Canis lupus familiaris: one gene and its partners. The protein of the gene in region 2 interacts with the protein of the main gene of each other region in a pairwise test. Links are inferred from orthologs where the notes say so. Each region holds a gene or a part of one and is shown on either strand. Other genes may lie near its edges.

The links.
Region 1: the proteins of TACC1 (region 2) and LSM7 interact in binary tests that used the Homo sapiens proteins (3 or more experiments, as listed by UniProt). The link is inferred for Canis lupus familiaris from reciprocal best matches to the Homo sapiens genes TACC1 and LSM7.
Region 3: the proteins of TACC1 (region 2) and MEMO1 interact in binary tests that used the Homo sapiens proteins (3 or more experiments, as listed by UniProt). The two-hybrid records come from large-scale screens. The link is inferred for Canis lupus familiaris from reciprocal best matches to the Homo sapiens genes TACC1 and MEMO1.

What each region holds. Positions count from the first base shown.
Region 1 is NC_049241.1:57,200,266-57,204,010, reverse strand, and holds the start of LSM7 (U6 snRNA-associated Sm-like protein LSm7), read right to left. Parts: upstream 2,488-3,745; 5' UTR 2,478-2,487; coding exon 2,472-2,477; intron 2,389-2,471; coding exon 2,298-2,388; intron 1-2,297. Other genes in the region: SPPL2B (signal peptide peptidase-like 2B), read left to right, coding at 2,634-2,693. UniProt on the Homo sapiens protein: Plays a role in pre-mRNA splicing as component of the U4/U6-U5 tri-snRNP complex that is involved in spliceosome assembly, and as component of the precatalytic spliceosome (spliceosome B complex).
Region 2 is NC_049237.1:27,443,051-27,446,695, reverse strand, and holds part of TACC1 (transforming acidic coiled-coil-containing protein 1), read left to right. Parts: intron 1-678; coding exon 679-739; intron 740-2,810; coding exon 2,811-3,018; intron 3,019-3,645. UniProt on the Homo sapiens protein: Involved in transcription regulation induced by nuclear receptors, including in T3 thyroid hormone and all-trans retinoic acid pathways. Might promote the nuclear localization of the receptors.
Region 3 is NC_049238.1:25,391,529-25,395,273, reverse strand, and holds the start of MEMO1 (protein MEMO1), read left to right. Parts: upstream 1-992; 5' UTR 993-1,008; intron 1,009-1,462; exon of another isoform or gene 1,463-1,698; 5' UTR 1,699-1,715; coding exon 1,716-1,776; intron 1,777-3,745. UniProt on the Homo sapiens protein: May control cell migration by relaying extracellular chemotactic signals to the microtubule cytoskeleton. Mediator of ERBB2 signaling.

The DNA of each region.
Region 1 (3,745 bases), on a different chromosome or scaffold from region 2:
CCTCCCCTCCGCCCGCAAGACAAAGGTCCCGAGGACACTTCCCCGACGAGCTTATGGGCAGCGGGCACTGTGGCCGCACCTGCGGGTCTGCCCTCCTCCGTGGGGCACGAGCAGAGTTCTAAAATGGGGCTGACCCCGGTGACCACCCAGTGGAACCCCTCCCCTCAAGTGTGGGAGGGAACCTGTGAATAGGACGGGATGCCACTCCTGCCATTAGGTTACAGGAGGATAAAGACGAAGGAACGGGCACGTGTGATTACGGTCCCAGAATCAGTGCCCTCTCAGCTCACCTAAAGAGATTCTGCTCGGCCGGCCTGACCTAATCAGATGAGCTCAGGGGAACAGGAACTGTGTCAAAAAATTCAAAGCATGAGAGGGATCTTCCCACTGGCCTTGAGGGAGCAAACTGCCATGCTGTGGACAGTGCTGTGGCCAGGGCCGGCGGGCAGCCTCTAGGACACCTGTAGCAGAGCTCGGGGACCCTGGTCCTACAGGGGTAGGACCCTCGCAGGGGACCAAACCCTGCCCACAACCAACAGGGCGTCTGAGACACTCCTTTAGTGCAACCTGAGCCCCTGAGCCCAAGGCACCCAGACTCCTCCTGACAAACACCACAAGATAATAAATTCATGTTGCGTAAGCTGCTAACGTGGTGGCAACTTGCTACACAGCGTAGAAAACCCATATGAGCACCCTGAGAAACGAGAGCTGTGTCTCCTTCACGGGTCCCAGAGCCAGCACGGCGCAGACAGAGCAAACATCTGTTCGGGTTCAAGTTCTCACCACTGCTGGCTACCTAGACTTGCAGGCACCGCGCTGTTAACCACGCCGATGCTACCCAATCGTCCACATCTCCGGGAGAAAGGATCTGGGTCACTGTCTCATGAAACACAACGAAAGCAAAGAGGCAGCTGAAGAAATGAAATGTTGCTCAAGTGCTTGCTTGTGTCAGAAACCACATCGAAGGTGCCTCCAACCCTGTGATCCTCACCACCGCCCGGTGAGGTGGGGGGAGTGAAGAAATGGAGCCCTGGGGGGCGGGGTGAGCTGCCCGAAGTCCCACAGCCAGTGCGCCAAAGAGCTGTGGCTCTGACTCCAGCTGCCTGGTGCTAGGACCCCAGAGGCCACACTGCCTACACGCACCAGCAACACTGGGCCCAGCTCCTGCCCTCCTCACTATTCCAGGGGAAAGATGCAGAGGTCGGTGTCGTGTTTACTGCGTAAAGCGGGGAACGGTGACAGACGGTACCAGGAGCTGACACCAAAGGCGTGGGGCCCAGGGTGGAGGATCAGGGAAGGCTTCCTGGAACAAGAATCCTGAGCTGAGAGCAGAAAAATGACTGTGGAGTTAACCTGGAGTTAGAAAGAGAGACTCCCAACGGCGTCACTCGTGCCAAGCCCCGGCCACCCCACCGCGGCCTCATACCTAACCTGGCCGCACCTGCAGCTCTCCCAGGAATGCAATCTCCACCAGTCAGCCTGGAACTTCCAGGTCAGCCCTCCCGAGCTAGTCTTCCTGAAAGAACCCCCAGCATCCCCCAGAGGAGGGGGACCCTGCCGGAAGCGATCCAGCGTCTGCTCCTGCACCCTCTGCCTACGAAACCCTCTGGGGCTCTGCGCCGTCTCCTAGGTGGGGTGCTCCCTGGCTCGTGAATAGTGGGAGAAAGCTCCCGAGATCTTTGAAATTCATTCACCCAGAGAAGCCTTGTGTTTTAAGCCTGGTAAGAGCCCAGCAGGCGGGTGCACGTCACAGCCTGGTGGCAGCTGAGAGCTCCGCAAGGCTGCCCCTTCCCCGGGAGGGACCGGGCGGCCCAGAGGAGGGCCCACCTGTGTTTAACAGGCCCCTCTGGACCATCCTTGACACCGGGCCGCGGCTCGGCAAGGGAGATGCCTGGTTGGGGTGCCCAAGCTAAGGCATGTCCTGGCATCTGGCGGCATCCGGGGGTTGGCTGCTCCCCTCCCCCCAGCGCCCCGACAGCCCCGAACAATCTGGCTGGCGTCAGGGTCACGAGTGCGGAGCCCAAGGAGCCGGGGCGGGGGTCAGTGACCAGCGGGGACCAGCGGGGGCGGCTGCCTCGGAGCGAGGACCCCGCCTGCGCCTCGGCCGCTTCGGGGTGTCTGCAGCTCCTCCCGTGCCTCAGTTTCCCCGCGTGCACGGCGTCGGACGGAGGCCGTCGCGAGTCCTCCCAGCAAAGCGCTCCGGCCTGCGCCCGGGCATCCGCCACCCTGCTCGCCTCCCGGAGCCGTCGACGGGGAGCGGGCGGCGGGGCGGGCGGCGGGCGGCGGGGGGCTCTCACCTTCGCGGCCTCCCTGAAACTTCACCCGAATCGTCTTGTCGATGTACTTCGACAAGTCCAAGATGCTCTCTTTTTTCTTCTTCTCTTTGTCCTGCGGGGGAAGCAGAGCGCGTGAGGCGCAGAGCGCGGCCGGGTCCCACGCCGCCCGCCCAGCCGGCCCCGCCGCGCGCTCACCGCCATCTTGCCGCCGCGCGCCGCTCTGCGCAGGCGCCGCCGCGCGCCCTTTGACCCCGCCCCCGTGCGCAGGCGCGGAGCGCACACGGCGCAGGCGCGGCGGGGCGCGCCGGGGCGTTGCTGGGAAACATCTGCCGACGCCTGCGGCTCGACCCGGCTGACATGGCGGCGGCGGCGGCGCTGGCGCGGCTCGCGGCGGCCTTCCTGCTCCTCGCGACCCAGGTGAGGCTGCGTCGGCCCCGCCGGCCCCGCCGGCTGCGGCGCCCGGTCCCTCCGCCCCGGGCCCCGCGCCCCGCGGGAGCCCCGCCCGGCCTGGCCTGGGGGCCAGCCTCGGGTCTGCTCGCCCCCCGCGCGGTGGCCCGCGGGCCGGGAGCCGGGCCGTGACCTTGCGGGCCGGCCCCCCCCGGAGCCCTCCCCAGCCGCAGCGTCGCCCAGTTGCGCCTGGGTCTGAAGTCCGGGAGGCCCCCCGGCTCCCCAGGCCCTGCTCCGTCCCGAGGCCCCCGGCCGCCGCCGGGGACGCCCCCCGCCTGGCCCCCAGCCTCAGTTTCCCCTTCCGCGCGAGGTTAGCGCCCACCCGCGTGGTTGCGGTAAGCCGTCCGGCGTGGCCCCCGGTTCCCCACAGGGAGCGGCCGAGAGCCCGCGTCCCGAGTGGGGTCCAACCGCCGCCCCGTGTTCTGTTGCGTGACCTTGGGCAAGGGAGGCCCCAGCTTCGGGCGTCAGTTGCTCATCTGCAAAAGGAAGACGTCAGTGAGGACTCGGCGGTGATGCTCATGGGGTGACAGCTGCAGCGTGCTCCTCCTCGGGCAGCTGGGGTCAGAGGTCTCCGGGCCAGCGGGGGGCCTGCTGCCAGCCGGGGGGTGGACATCCTCCTAAGCGCACTTTGTATTTGCAGGTCCTCCCTCCCCGGTTCCCTGGGTGATGCAGCTCAGGGAGTGGTGTCCCATTAACCTTGAGCTGCCCGCCGCAGGTCCCCATCTCTCTCCTGTAGCCTCCGGTGGCCACTTGCGTCTCACACACCCCCCAGTCCATGGGCGGCACAGCAGGAGGGATGTCTCTGAAAGTGTGTCAGGTCTGGTTGCATCCAGATGAGAGCCGCCCCTCGGCTTCCAGCGCGTGTGGGAGGCCTCTGTGGTTGGGCGGCTTGGGACGCTTCCCCTCCTGTTCCTAGTTTGCTGAAGGCGCTCCGCCTCCGTCTGGTCTTCCCCGTTTCCCCGGAATGCCCCTGGTCATCCTTCCTAGTTCTTCCCTGCCCCCACCCCCCTCCGGAGAGGCTC
Region 2 (3,645 bases):
AACTAGGCTTTGGGTCATAAATTATGTGCTAGTTAAAAAATAACAGGGGGTTTGAGGTTTCCCCAGTTCCAGTCTTTCCACAAATACATGACATTCGTTTTCCATCTTACTGCTTAATAGGAATGATAACCATTTACGCAAATATTTTTATTTTTGTACTTTCCATTGACCATAGTTTTTCTCTGTTAGCACACAGGTCTGGAACTGTCTTATCAGACTTATGTGGTTTTTAGTGCAATAAAGAACTTTTTTAAAGAATCTGGTCCGGTGTGGTAATTTTTCTAATGAATATCAAAGCCAGTGAGTAGGGATCAGATGAACTGAATGTCTCTAGGTGATAAGGTACCTCTGCAAGTTTTGGTGGTGTGTCAGCAGAAACTGTCAGAGTCAGAGTACTGGTGTTACACATCCCACGGAAACACATGAGGAGGTCTTCTCAGAGAATGAGCTGAGCTATAGTTCCTTGCCTGCCCTGTCTCCTGGGAAATTCAGAGACATGAAAGGTGTTCCCCTCTCTACTGTGTAGATGTAGAACTTGCGTGGTGCTGTATGCTTTGGCTTCTCTCTGCACACATTGCTTTCTCTGCTCCATCTCATAGCTTGGAAGTTGTTAATATGATTCCAAAATGGCCTGTTTTGTTTTGTTTTGTTTTGTTTTATTTTTGTTCTCCTTTCCAGGAGTGGCTGTAAGGTGAAGAAATATGAAACACAGTCTCTTGCTTTGGATGGATGTTCTCAGGTGAGTCTGTGCCTGTCACCAGAATGTCTCTTGGACCAGGGGTCCCCAAACTGGAGTTTGTGTGCTCCTGGGGAGGGGGGTATAATGAATAGTTTCCAGCAGGTAATCTGGTTTCTGAGTAATCTGGCTTTGAGGATACCAATTTCTTGACCCTCAACTTCCTAAAGTGACCTGAGAAGGCTCCTGAGAAAAGGAGTGCCCACTCATGTTACACTTTTCCCACTTCTTTGAGGTAAAATTTCCTGTCATTCTGAATCTTAATAAGATGCATTTTCACTGGATATGAAATGTCTGGGACACCAAACAAAGGGCAGATTTGAAATAATACTGCATGTTTTAAGAAAGTGATTAACTTTAATAACTGGATAATAAATTTCTTAAGTCAGATGGTTTTCCAATTCATTGCTTTCAGCAAAGTAGGAGAACTTGAGTTATAACCTGATAGACTATTAAAAATTATCTGACCCAATGTTATATGTCAGTTATATCTCAGTTAAAAAATAATGTTTTTAAAAGATTTTTATTTATTTGAGAAAGCACAGGCTAGAGGAGGGACAGAGTGGGACAAACAGACTCACCTCTGAGCAGGGAGCCCAGATGCAGGGCTCCTTCCAGAACCATGAGACTGTGACCTGAGCCTAAGTCAGATGTTTAACTGGCTGAGCCACTCAGGAGCACTCCCCTCCCAAAGTAACTTTTGATGATAGAATTTTTTGGTACATGACTTGGAAAGGGATTCAAAGAATTAAGAGACATTTCGATTTCTAAAACTTTTTTTCTCTTTCATCTGTTTGTATAAATAGGCTTAAATATCTAAGCTTCTTCTTGATTGATAATTATAAAAATGAAAAACAGGAATAAAATTCATGTGGATCCTTGTTTCCTTCTAGCAGTAAATATTTGCCCATGACTATGAATTGGAAAACACACACACAAAAAAACAAAAACCCAGACCCATTTGATTGTGATGAGACCTTTTAAAAAACTTTATTGCAGCATAACTGTGAATACAGAAATACATTAATTAGTTAATAAAATTCATTTTAAGTTTATTTTACACAGTTTGGACCAAAAACTTGGTACATGGCTGAAGATTAAAAAAAAGAAAGAAAGATTTGCCCTCTGATTTATTTTTTCATCTATTACAAATATGTAAAGTATCCAATTTCAAATGCTGCTAAAGCAGGCAACAAATTTCTGTGAGAAATTTACCTTTGATTTGATTCAGGAAAATAACACATATGACACTGCAAAAGTTTTAAATAATTGGTACAACAAAATGTAATTGATACTTCTTTTTAGTAGAAACTTTTGTATGTGATAGTACTTATCAAAAGTTGTAATAATTTTAGGATAAATTGTGCATTAGTTAATTATGATGATTAGTTGTCCAGAAGAAAAAATGTTAATGTTTAAAGATTTACAGTCATAGAAGTTTTTTTTAATTTTTAACTTTTTTAACTGAGAAAGATGATAGAACTTTAAAAGACTTTAAAAGGATACAGGTGCTTCTTTTTAAGGATAATTTCTTGGTAGAAGCAATGATGCAAATTTCTGACTTAAAACTATTAAAAATGTGTGTTCATGTTGATTTTAAGTAGATGATAGAATATCATCAAATCACTAGAGTAATTAGGTTGAACTAGGCAATTTTTAAAGTATACCGGATATTATATCTTACGAAGTTTTTTATATTTATGCTGAAAAGTTTTTGGATGTCACCTAAAATACAGTGGGTACATTGATATTTCAAAAACAATTCATGGGCTATATGAGCAAAATATTTGAAAACCACTGCCTTAGATCACTTAAACTTGTTGCTTATGAATCTCGGCTAGAAAAGGTTAATTTTTCAGACCTCATGTGTGAATAAGAGAAGCGAGGTTCTAGAAAGCATAATATTCCATAATTGAGATACCTCAGCTTCCTCCTTGATTGGTACCAAAATCTATGATTAAGTCTTATCTGACACCCATGTGGAATGGTGGCTGTCTTGCCCCATTCCTCAGATGTCACTTTCCCCACTGTTGGTCCTCCTAAATGGTAGCATCTGATCTGTTGCATTTCCTAGGATGAAGGAGCAGTGATCTCCCAGATTTCAGACATATCTAATAGGGATGGCCACGCTACCGATGAGGAAAAACTGGCGTCCACTTCATCTGGTCAGAAATCAGCTGGGGCCGAGGTGAAAGGTGAGCCAGAGGAAGACCTGGAGTACTTTGAATGTTCCAATGTTCCCGTGTCTACCATAAATCATGCGTTTTCATCCTCAGAAGCAGGTATGGAAGTATATGTTCATCTTTCTAATGTACATAAGCCTAGAAATGCCTGAAAGCTTAATGCAGGAGGCAGTTTAAAGAGATTAGAGAATTGGGTCACTTGGAGGATAGATGCAGGTTGCTGATCTGTGCTTTGCTTCTTTGCCTAGAGAAGAGATGCAGGAGGGCATCTTCTCGAAATACCAGAGCCATAGGGATGAGTGTGGCAGGATGGAGACACTGACATATGAGGCTGCTTGAATTTTGTGACTTATTTTATGTGACTTCATCTCAAAATATAGTGGCCTGTAGCCATGTTGTGATTGTTGTTCAGCGTAGAGAAATAATAATAACACGTATAGTGCCTTACCATGTGCAGGCACAGTGCTAAGTGCTTTACATCTATTAACTGATGACTCCTTGGTCAGTATTATTCCCCCCCCGCCCCCCATTTTTCAGAGAAGGAAGGTGAGACATAGAAGTTGAGTAAGTTAGCCAAGGTCACTTGATTAGCACATGGTAGAACTAGGATCCAAACCTTGGCAGTCTGGTTTTATGGTCTTTTAAGCACAATGCTAACATGGGAAGAGGTTGCTTTCACGACTAGAATATTATCCATTTTCCTGTTTGTAGGCTGAAATCGACAAA
Region 3 (3,745 bases), on a different chromosome or scaffold from region 2:
GTAAATTAAAACAAAAACAAAACTGTATTATGACATTAGGGAAACTTGAATATTATGCAGCCAGTTATCCGGTTTGAACTCTACCAATGATCTGTTCAGTATGAAATTCAGATTCTTTCACTGAAGACGTGCAAGTTTTTCTTAACTCTCTTCCCGGTTTTGGAATGATCTGCTTCATAACAACGCTACCTTGGTCTAAGATATCCTACTTCTCTGTGATTCTTTAATAGTTTTAGAGGAATTCTTTGTTCCTGACTCTTACGTGAAATACTGGGATTTATAAGAGGAGGGGTTGTAAATAATGTTTGTTGTATGCAATACTCTGTCAGGCTCTACATTTTATTAACTGATAATCCCAGGGACCCTCCTTGAATATACTATCCCCTTTTCATAGAAGGGAATAACTGAGGCTAGCCTAGCTATTTTCACACTTGAATCTAATTAGGGAGTGAAGACCTGCACCTACATCCGTATACAATGAAACGAGATAAATGTTTACAGTGTCAAAGCCACGATTAGGTGTAAGAGTGGCCGCGGGAAGCAAAAGCTAGCGTTTGAGGGGACCCCTGCCCTCACACTGCCATGTGCCTGTTCCTATACAGGAACTTCCTGAACGAGGCCACAGGCTCGCATCCCCGGGAGTGGAACCTCGGGGGTGTGAATCCACTCAACATTCGCGTGTGTGACGAGGCGGGGGAGGACGAGCAGGACGAGCAGGACGAGCAGGACCGTCCCCGCGGAAAGCCGCGGCGGCGGCGGCGGCGGCGGCGAGCCCCGGGTGCTCGTCATTTACGGAAGTTGGCTGGGGGAGGGGGCTCGCCCTGCGGCTGCGCCCCGCTCCCCCCCCGCCCCCCCCGCTCCCCGCCCCCCAGCCTCTGCTGCCGCTAAACCCCGGAGCGCGGAGCGTGCACGCTGCGATCCCTCGGCGGCCCGGCCGCGGCTGCTGGGCATGCTCAGTGGGCAGGACCCGTTGGAGCGGCGAGTAAGGAAGCGCTGGCTCCTCCGCGGGTCTGCCGTCCCCGCTCGGGCCCCGGCCCTGGGCTTCCGTGCGCGCGGAGCCGCAGCCGCAGCCGCCGCCGCCTCCCCGCGGGGCCTGTCCGGCTTCCGCCGTTAACCTCGCGGCGCGGCCGGAGGAGGAGCGGGGCGGGGCGGGGCCCGCGGGCCGGCGGGCGGCCGGGCGGGCGGGAGGGCCCAGCCGGGGTGGGGGCGGGGGCGGGGCGGGGCGGGGCGGGGGCGGGGTGGGTGCGGGGAGTCCCGCGGGGGTGGGGGGGTGGGGGTGGGGGTGGGGGAGGGGAGGGGGCGGGCGCGGAGTCACGGGGGTGGGGTCAGCGGCGCCGGCTCGGGGAGGCCGGCGGGGAGGGGGCCGTGGGGGCGGCTCGGCGGAACCAGCCGCGGCCGGGGAGCGGCGGCGAGGCCGGGGGCCGGGGCCAGGGCTTTCCGGGCTTCGGTGAGGCCGCCGCGGGCCCCATCTTCCGGCGCTCGCCGGAGCTCGTGCTGATTGTTGCTGCCGCCGCCACCGCCCCGGCTGCCATCTCGTCCTCCTGGGCCGCCGCCGCCGCCGCCGCCGCCTCCTGGGCCGGGCCGATCCCCTCCCCGCCGCCGCCTCCTCCTGGGCTGGGCCCGCGGTGTCTCGTCCCCTCGCGGAGCCGCTCCTGCCGCCGCCGCCGCCGCCTCCTCATTCATCCTCGTGCACCATAGGCGGCACAGGCACCAAGATGTCCAACCGAGTGGTCTGCCGGGAAGCCAGCCACGCCGGGAGCTGGTACACAGCCTCAGGTAGGGCCCCAGGCCGGCCCCGCGTGCGGAGGGAGCGCCCCCCCTCCCCCCGGGGCATCCCGCGGGGCGGCCGGCTCGCCGCCGAGTGTGGGGCGGACGGCGCGCGCCCTCCCGGGGCCGGGCTGGATGGAGGCTGGAGGCCGGGACCCGAGCCCGCCCCCGCCCCGGCCCCGGCCCCGGCCCCCGCCTCCGCCCCAGCCCCAGCCCCAGCCCCAGCCCCGGCCCCGGCCCCGGCCCCGGCCCCGGGAGGACGGCGCGCCCGGCGCGGGGGAGGCAGGCAGGACCGGCGGCGGGGCGTCCCCGTCTCCCCTCCAAGGTGCCCGGCTGCCTGCACGGGAGCGCGGGCTCCGGACCTTCTCCGGCTCCGGGCTGGACGCGGGGTCCCCGCCTGCGAGGTCGCCTAGGAGGCGGGAGGCCCTTCTCTGGGACTCGCGGAGCCCGTCTGTGGGGGTAGGGTAGGAGGGCGGCCAGGCAGCGCTTGGGGCGGGTGGCCTCCCAGCTCTTTTGTCCGTGTTTTCATTGTTACTGTCACTCGCGAAAGGGGCAGCCGGAGATGGCATCGGCGCGCCGGCCTCCCCCCGCGGCCGCGCCAGCAGCAGCCCGGCCGCCCGCCCGCCCGAGCCGAGCGGAGCCCCAGCCCCAGCCCCAGCCCCAGCCCCAGCCCCAGCCGCAGCCGCAGCCCCAGCCCCAGCCCGAGCCCCAGCCGCAGCCCCAGCCCCAGCCCCAGCCCCAGCCCCAGCCCCAGCCCCAGCCTGCGAGCGGGGCCCGGGTCTCCGCCGCCCCGGCGCGCCGTCAACGCCGCCTACAAACACTCTGGAGCTCTTTTATGTAAGAAAGCCCAGGGACGTTCCCTTTAATACACAGTTGGGTTAGGGCCACTGTTTTTCCTGGGATTACTTTCACGGGTCATATTTCTGGTGAGTTAACAAAGAAAGTTCCACCGTGATTCCCCATGGTGTTCCGTGGTCTGGTACCGGCTTACGGGTAACCGGACCCAACTTCTCGTGCGGATCTCGCATTCACGCTTTCCCTCTTGCACCGAGTCGGGTTGGGGTAGGGACGTGGCTGGTGAGGCGACAAAGATCTGGAAGAAAATTCCTTTCTCTGAGTTGCTGCTACTCGGGACTCGGAAACACATGCACTTTCCCGACTCACTGGAGATTTGCGGTGTTAAGACACAAAAGAATCCTAATGCTTGGATTCGCAAAGCCTAACAGGTAGCCGGCTGTAGTTTTGTACCGAGCAAATGACATTTGGCTTTGCCTTCGTGGCCCTGGCGTACTTCACGGACACTTAATCAGTTCCCACAGCCTGAGAATGTCAGTTGAGCTTTCCTTGGTGGACACACATGGGGATGTGTCCGAGACTCTGTCCTGCTAGCCGGTGGCAGAACGGGAATGGAGAAACGGGAGTCCCTGGCTCCTGGGTTTGTCCCCCATTAAGTGCATTGCTAATATTCAATTTATCAGTGCCTAAATGGCCTTTTCTGGGTTGTAAGTCACTAAGCTGCTTTCTTCAGTGTGTTCTGAAGGGTTAGAAAGTCTCAGTTTTCACTTTCATGGCCATCTTCTGATGTATTTCTTTTGGTTTTGTTTTCTGTATCTTTCTATAAGTGTTTTAGACTTTTTGACGTAGTTTGCCTTGACATTTGGGCAAATAATTCTGGAGGAATTTTTATAGATTCTTGAATATTCTTTGGGTAGTAAAATAAGGTATATCTCACACTTTGGACTTGAAACGACTTCTTCAGTAATCTCAAATATAAGAAGAATCCTTTAATCTAGCCCCAAACATTCTCTGATTATAGCTACTTATCAGTAGTGAGTGAACACAAACTATTTTCTTCTTTTTTTGGGTATAAGTGTAATTTTATTTTATCTTTTTACAGTGTTATATTAGTTTCAGGTGTGTACAGTATAAAGATTCAACGATTCCTAAACTGAACTATTTTCTCAAACATTTGAAATGC